Linked DNA regions of Drosophila melanogaster. The protein of the gene in region 1 interacts with the protein of each later gene in a pairwise test. Each region holds a gene or a part of one and is shown on either strand. Other genes may lie near its edges. The genes, in order: HP1e and Cdc6.

Region 1 (3,371 bases):
ACACCCCAACAGCCTAGCAAGGAAGCTAGGAACTGCAGCTGTGGTCAATGCTGACCCTCGGACTAGAGTCAAAAGAAGACTCAAGCGACACCACCCTCATGACCTCCCTAACCTGGTTTTGACCTAGAAAGTCTTAGTTTTAAAATTCATTAGAATAATCAAATAAATAATAATTACTATGTTATATCAACTATTATAATTCTCCCTAACATTTTTAGGATTAAAAATCTGTTAGTCTTAAGTAACCAAGACACATTGTAAAATAAAATAATTTAAGCAGATCAAATTAAGTTGCCGCATGGGTAACAGTGCGTTGATCAAATAATAAAAACATCAAATATTGGTCTCAAAAAAAAAAAAAAAAAAAAAATTATGACCGTAATACTGTCAAAAACAAGCACACAATAATTATAATGATGATCAAATAAAACTGGAAATTAGCCCAAAGTGTGTTAAGTCAAGCGAGGAATCCGAACAAAGGAACTACAGCCAGCACTGGAGGCAAAAAGTGACAGTAAAATTGGCTCGAAGACAGCGGCTAATGAGCGTGCGATAGGAATAAAGGAGTAGAATGGGGCCAAAAACCCAAGAAACTCAAGTTGGCTAAAAGGCAAAGATATCGCAGTACTAGTCAAATACGAGAATACTGAGAGAGCATTTTGCGATGGGCTTGTGGCAAGACTAAGCGTCTTACTGGCAAATTGGGAACGGGGTAAGAGGAAAAGCCGAAAGCTAAACAAAGACGGCCAACGCAGATGGCAAAAAGGAAAAACTCAATTGCCGCACAAACCGAGCCGCCATTGTTTTCTTAATTGAGTGTCTTTTGCTAGTGTGTCTGTGTGCCAGTATGTTTGCTCATACATATATGGGGTATCTGTGTGCCAGGACACTATGCTCATTGCCGCCTATCTGCCGGCAGAGTTCGCTTATCAATTACATTGAATTTACCCAGGCAGAAATGGCTTTTAGCCATTCTAGGCACCACCCCCTGCAATCAATATTTGCCGGAAGTGATGGCATAGGCAGTCACATTGACTTTTGCGCCGACTGCTCACCTCTCCACTTCCTGTGCTTCCGATTTGACGCTGATTTCACAACTCGCCGCACGGAAATTGCCCGGCCCCCCATTTACGGCTTCAGTAAACAACCGCACCTCACGTTTCTTGACCACCCCTCCACTCCATTTCGATTTTCGAATCTTCACTGTACTGCAGTTGACGAAGGCGCACATTTTATGTATGTATTTGCCGTGAATCTCCAACTCCATCCTACTTCATAAGTCGCCTGATTTATTCCGGCCACGTAGCACTCACTGCACAGTTTGATTGCCACATTCGCATGTAAATGCTGGCCTCTAAAAAGTATTCAAACCAAGCGACCCAATCCCACAAATCTGTCCCACGTCATCGCGCATAATCGAGCTTTTAATTTCGGGTAATAAAACTTTGCCGATTTAATATCAGGTACGTGGCGCCTTCATTCTACAAAAGAAAGCCATAAAATGTGGAACTGACTTCGAGGGAAGCCATAAACTTATGTTTTTCAATGAAGGATAAATAAGAAAAATAACTAGTTGTTACACCTTTCAAATTTTTAAAGCATATTCCCCAATTTATTGTCAAGTGATTCATCAACGATTTCTGTGGCCTGCAAAGTTTGCCTTGAAAGGCAAAAGATTTTGTTCATTAAACAACGTGATACACGAAACCAAACTGAAAAAAACTTTGTTCTACGAGTATTTCAAACTTTTCGCCAAGTTTACGCATAATTTTTTACGATATTTTCCGCAGTTTTTCCTTTTGACGGCTCATCTTATTCTTATTGTTGTTCGAAAGGACTTACCCAGCATCCAGGGATCTCTAATAGATTTCCGGCAAACAATTTTATTCACTTTCTGCTATTGAATTTGGTATTATTAATGCCGCATTTCCTAAGCTGTGGGCATTAAGTATATGGCTAACTTTTCTACTTCAGGATATTAAACGAATTCATTACAATATTTTTCATAATTTTATTTCTTTTGGCAAGAAGATATTAAAGTAGACCAGCATTTAAAAGAAAACTTGTCTGCACAGAAAACTACGTTTTGTTGAGTAGCAACTGTAGATAAAAAGTTACGAAAATGTTTTTCGCTCTGACATTGCTGTCAAAACTCATCAAAAAAATACTATTTGAACATTTAAAAATATAAAATGGATTCAGATGCCGATGGTGGCGAGACCGTTTCGAATTTCTCTGAAAATTCGACGGATTTTGAAGAAACTGAGGAGTATATTGTAGAGAGGATTTTGGATCGAAGGCATTATATGGGCCAATTACAATACTTGGTCAAATGGCTGGATTATAGCGATGAAGATAATACCTGGGAATCGGCAGCAGATCTCGATTGCCATTCACTTATTGATTCGATTGAATCACAAAAAAGTCTGAAGAGGGGTCAAGAGCTGAATAATCAATATGAAACTAAAGCTAAACGACTGAAAATCGATCCATGTCTAGTAGTAGATAGTCCTTTTAATCATGGTTTCACTGCACAAGAGATTCTAAAAGGCGCTAAAAACAATGGTGAAATATCGTTTTTAATTAGGTTTTGGCATCTCGATCAACCACAAGTGGTGCCAAGTGGAATTGCATATGTGGAAATACCGCAGATGGTTCTGAAATTCTATGAAAATCATTGCAATTTTCACGATTATTTAAATAATTATATATCATGACTTGCAATTCTGGATCTTCAAAAAAAAAAAACTTATGAATATGTGTGTGAGCTTCTTATATTTTATATGTTAGGTTAAATTGCTTTACTTTTTATAATAAAAGGTGTCCCTTTGCACAGCATTACAAACAATAATGAAGGCAAAATGCCAAGTTTTAAGTGATTTTTGGGGCGTGTTTGCCCGACAGGCAGCGTAAACACTCTTAATTGCAACAACAGTGCCGGCAAACAAGGGCCAGGAATGTACGACGGCCAAAATGAAGCGAAAATATTTGCATTCCGTTTTTGTGGCCATTCCCTTGTCTCATCGCAAGTACCAAAAGTCGTAAGACCTATTCTCTGTTTTTGGCTGATGGGGCGTGGTGGCCGGACGTACTTTTGCCCTATATATTCGTGTTTGTTTTTCGTCACTTGGGTCCTTTTTTTTGGAGGGGGGGGGGGGGGGCTCTGGTGCTACCCAGTTGCGTCCAGTGGGCACGTAGCCACAATAGCAGCAAAAAGGTTTCGTTTAAGCCTTCTGCACTTTTGCCGAGAATTGATACTGCAATATCCGGTCGAGCAAGTTCAACTCCAATCAATTGCTCTTCGATATTGGTAAGTTTTTGTCGGCGGTAAAAGAAACTAAGACCTATTTGAATTTATAGGCACACGCTTG
Region 2 (5,336 bases), on another chromosome or scaffold:
TGAAGATCATTTCCAGAAATACACATATTTACATAGCATGATTTCCTAAGCGCAGACTCAGATCATTTGAGCTTTTCTTTGCAATAGGACGTTTTTAGGAAGAAGAAAAAAAAGGAACACACATATTCGTAGACAGCAGAGCACATGCATTCGGGTTTTTGGACTCGTGTCGTGTTGTTTCTGTTGTTCTGACATAGATATTGTATCTGGTTCTTAGAAACTACATATATAGTTCAGTTGTTCAGGTTGCGGGAGACAACAATAATCGAGGGTTAGTCTGTACAGACAGGCAGGGGAAAACACGGGAAACTTGGCAAACATTCCTCATATTCAATTTAATTTGTCTCAAGGCAAGTTCAGGTACAATTCCACGTTCTTGCTCATTGTGCTTTCCATATCAAAGTGAAAGTGAAAGTGAAAGGATTCAATCAAAGAACGAAATCAGGCTGTGCTCAAGATATGAATTTACTTTTACCCGTTAAGTTTTGTTGGCAAAGGACGATGCAAAGGACTGTCCTTCAAGCGATTGCTTTCGCTTGTGGCGAAGCTACAACAATATACATAGAATATATATAGGATATATAGAGAGTGGTATATTTATATATGTAAATGTATATAAATGCATGTAAAACAGAGATCCGGCAGTAGGCAGTAGTAAGTAGTACGTACAACATCTATGGACTGGTTTTCGTGTTCAATCGTATGTTCGAATTGTGTGTGTTTCTCATTTCGTGTGTGCATCGGTTTAGTAAATTTCGTTTCGACTTTGATTTTGTGGCTTTTGGGTTAGTGGATTATGGCCGCAGCTTAACCAGGAACCAATTTTTCGGGTTATGTGGACCTTAGGCTACTCGTAACCGTGTGTTCGTGACTCGTTTTATTAGTTTTCAAGCTACTTGGCGCATTTCGAGTGGCTCTCTCTGTCTCTCTGGCAAAAAGAAAAGCTGCATCAAAAATTTCGAAGAACTCTACGCAGGTTTATTCGTAAATTGCAAAATCCAAAGAATATGTAGCGTAATTCATAGGCTTATAAGTTCAATTTGACAAGCGAATTCCAAAAGTTCATATATTAGTGTTTTTTTTTTTTCATTGTATCGAGCTAAGCATAGGAGTTTCCAGATGGTACATTTCTGGGTGACAACTTACGGAACTGTGGATCTGATGGTGTCCTCGATGTTGTTGTTGGAGTACAGGCCAATGGGCGAGTTGAATTGCTTGTGGAAGACCTAAAATCGGGGGATATATGTACACAAATGTAAGTAAAACCCATTACAACTTACACTTAAATTAAATACAATCAATTTCGTAACAGGATTAGAACAAAGACTACAGGTCACGAATTCGAAATGTTAACATTGAAAATATCAATTTTAAATGTAGAAAACTCTAGTTTTTGTAATTTTCCATTATGTGGGTGTGACTTTAAGAAGTCCCCTGTACTTACGCGGCCAGTGTCGGCTTCCGAACCGACCACCTTGTGCAGCATGGTGTCGGCCACGCGCTGCTTCATGATACTGTCATGGTAGTCGTGTCCTGGGTGGGCGCGCACAGCCGGGTTGGGGTAGTGCCTCAAGTAGGACTCTGTCGTGGGCGCATCCTTCTTCACTTTGGCGCCGGGCAGGACCAGCGGAGTTGTACGGTAGGGCTGGAAAGCGGATCGGTGAAGATTAACGACTTTGTTTACGCCGAAATGGGGCACACATTTGGCCGACCAGCCGTTGCGGCAAATGATAATATAAATAAATCAGACAGAGATTAAAAGAGTTTCTAGAAATCACCAGATCTTTGCCCACTGTGCTACGTATTTCTCCTTCGAGCGTGTGTGTGCATAATTTTTTTCGCTATATCTAAATTCCATTTTATGTGCGCCCGTTTATATACTTTAAAAATATCCCATAGCCAGGGGAAATATTTTTAGGCGCTTACGTAAGCGTGTTCAACGTCCAGCGATTTGTGTTTTCTATCTGCCGCGGACCATTTTATTTTTACCAGGCCGTCCACACGCGAGTATGTAAGTAATTCAATATAGGCGGACTGCTGTTTGAAATGTTGTAACTATGCGCGCCTAATCGATAGGCGATCGACAATAGGCAGCTCTGGGCTAGAGCTGCCAGATGACCAGACCAGGCTTGATCAGCTGTTGCTCGTGGCGAATGGCAAACTCAATTTGCGCGCTTTTTTAACTGTGACTGCCAGCTGAAAATTGTAACGCACGCTGTGGCTTATTTAACTCGTATTTAATAGTAACTAACTGCTGATCAATAAACTAAGCTAAAGAATGGCTGCCGTACGCCGCTCCACGCGCCTTAGTAGCATCAGCAAAGCGACCGCCGCCTCTCCGCTGCCGCCGTCGACGCAGACGCCGCGTCGCTCGGAAGTTTGGAAACGCAGGCAGCCGAAAAAAGTGCTTGCCGATAGCGACGAGGAGGAGGAGGTGGTGACGGCGATCTATGACCTGACCAGCCCCGTTTCAGAGAACAACGAGAACCGCAACGTGCTCAACAAAATGGACAAGATCTCCAGGCGCAGGACATCGCAAGTGCAGGTGGCTCAATCGGAGCTGCCAAAGACGCCACGCAGCACAAAGAAAACAGTCCAATCAGCTGGCAGTTCACGGGCCAAACGTGAGGAGGAAAACCGTGAGGCCACCGCTAGATTCTTGGAGGGCGAACAGGATTCGGAGGTGGACCCGCTTCATGGATCGCCGCCGAAGCAGAGGAAGTTGCAGCCACTGCCACAGCACCTGATCAGTCCTTCGCGGCTGCTGGACAGACTCAGCATCGACGAGCGCCAGGAGGAAGAGGTGGAGGCGACCACACACAAGACTGAAACGGCTGAGCAGCAGCCGAAACATCAAGCCAAGGACGAGGCAAAGCCTCGGCCAAAACAGCAGGAGGATCCATTAGCGCAAAAGCAGCAGGAGAAACCTCCAACAAAGCAGCCGAATAAAAACCAAACTAAAGAAAAAAGCAATATCCAAACCAATGAGGAAACCCAACAGAATAACCTGCCATCTCCCTCACGCAACAAATACCAAAACGCCAGACGAGTGCTCAACAGCGCCGAGACACAAAACTTGCCAGGACGTGAGTCCCAGCTCCAAGAGCTACGTGAATTCTTCAGCAATCACCTGGAAAGCCAGACTTCCGGCAGCCTCTATGTCTCCGGTCAGCCAGGAACAGGCAAGACCGCCTGCCTATCGCTACTGCTGAGAGATCCCGACTTCTCCAAGCGTCTGCAACGTGTGTACATTAACTGCACCAGCATAGCAAGTGTAGGAGCAGTTTACAAGAAACTATGCACCGAACTGCAGCTCAAAGTCAGCGGTCGCACAGAGAGAGATCACTTGGAGGCCATTCAGCGTCACCTAAAGACAGCAAAGCGAATGCTTCTGCTGGTGCTGGACGAGATTGATCAGCTCTGCACCAGCAGGCAGGAGGTGTTGTACACGATCTTCGAGTGGCCAGCTCTTCCCGGCTCCAGGATACTGCTCGTGGGCATTGCCAATAGTTTGGATCTCACAGATCGTGCGCTGATGCGACTGAATGCAAGGTGCGAGCTGAAGCCCAGACTGATGCACTTCCCGCCCTACTCCAAGCAGCAGATCGTGGAGATATTCAAGTCGCGTCTGGCTGAGGCGGAAGTGCTGGACGTCTTTCCACCCGTGACCCTGCAGCTGCTGGCCGCCAAGGTGAGTGCGATCAGTGGAGATGTGCGAAGGGCCCTGGACATTGGACGACGAGTGGTCGAGATAGCAGAGCAGCAGAAGCGCGATGGCGAAAAGGAGTTCAATATGAAGGCCCTGCAGCTGGAGGGCAAGGATGCGGTGGAGGCCAAGGAAAAGCAAGGTAAACCTTCGTTTCTTTAGTATATAAAGATAAATTTATAGAATGTGTTAAAAAGAAATCCTATCTTGACTATTTCAGACACTCTAAAGCCTGTTCAGGTCACCCAAGTGGCTGCAGTGCTGAACAAGGTCTACGGTGCCTCACAGAATCTGGAGGAGGACATCGAGGCATCATTTCCGCTGCAGCAAAAGCTAATGCTGTGCACCCTGGTGCTGATGCTGCGCAACGAGCGCAACAAAGACATCAGTATGGGTCGCCTGCACGAGGTCTACAGGAGAGTGTGCGCCAAACGCAACATCCTGGCCCTGGACCAAGCGGAGTTCACTGGGACTGTGGATCTGGTCGAGACCCGAGGCATTCTGCGAATCATGCGCAAAAAGGAGCCGCGCCTGCACAAGGTTCTGCTGCAGTGGGACGAGGAGGAGGTGCATGCGGCACTGAGCGACAAGCAGCTGATCGCCTCGATCCTCAGCGATACCGCCTGCCTGAGCAAGTGACGATCTGGACGATTACCTCTAGGAAATGAGTGTGCCCGACAAACCGCTGGTTAATTGCGCATTTTTCTCATTTTCATTCACCTTGGGGACGAACGTATATGTATAGGAATACTTTTTGACGCTAATTTTAAAATTCGTGGCTGGCGCAAGCACTGAAATATTTTGAAATATCATTTGACGGTCACTTTCGACATTTTCTGCTATTTTCTGACTATTAATTGAATCGATTCTTTTAGACTTTGTGTGTGTCATAAATCTAAGTAAATGTTGCGCCCATAATCTATTTCTAATCCGATCCGTTGACCAATAAGTTATAGAGAATCCCCTTCCTGTTAGCCCTAAGCAAATAAGAATAAACTAGATAGTTCCGCAATACATAAAACGCAAAAGTGAAAACGTTTTCCACTTTCGCTGCGCCGCAAGTTTGAATCTTGGGTCGTGCCAAAAGTTGTGAAAATCTTAGGGAAAGTCTGTTGCCATTGTTTTCTGAGGCGTTTTCAGAACATACCAGTCAAATTAACACCAGTGCTTCTGAATTTGTGTGGGCTTTTGTTGGCCATCTCGACATGAAATTAATTTGTTCTATAATCATTTTGTTTATTTATTTGCTGGCTTATTGTTGTTCTTCCTGCGCTCTCTGCTCTAAAAATATCCCCATTTGAGTGGTATGAATTACATTGAGCACCACCGACACAACCAGAGCGCAATGAAAAATATGTTTCAAAAACTCTGGTTGCCTTTCGACGCGTATTGACGAAAGGCGAACAAATGTTTGAATAATAAGCTATATGCAGAGAGGCCAGCTAGATATATGCATGAATGTATCTATAGGTATATGGCGTTCTATATTCCTATTCCTCAAAAATACATATATTTCTGAGGGAGCAGTAAGGCGAAAAACCTCGAAAAACATACAGGTCTGTTGGCGCTGCCATTTGCATTTGAACTTGAATTCCAAGATCAAACGGTTGACGGTAAAGGTGAAATGTTT

What was found.
Region 2: the proteins of HP1e (region 1) and Cdc6 interact in a two-hybrid assay, tested with the Drosophila melanogaster proteins (one large-scale study listed by BioGRID).

The regions. Positions count from the first base shown.
Region 1 is NT_033777.3:9,319,634-9,323,004, forward strand, and holds HP1e (heterochromatin protein 1e), read left to right. Parts: upstream 1-2,136; 5' UTR 2,137-2,192; coding exon 2,193-2,717; 3' UTR 2,718-2,728; downstream 2,729-3,371.
Region 2 is NT_037436.4:8,630,892-8,636,227, reverse strand, and holds Cdc6 (cell division cycle 6), read left to right. Parts: upstream 1-2,158; 5' UTR 2,159-2,278; coding exon 2,279-3,848; intron 3,849-3,926; coding exon 3,927-4,345; 3' UTR 4,346-4,719; downstream 4,720-5,336. Other genes in the region: Zasp66 (Z band alternatively spliced PDZ-motif protein 66), read right to left, coding at 476-547, 1,147-1,226, 1,445-1,645.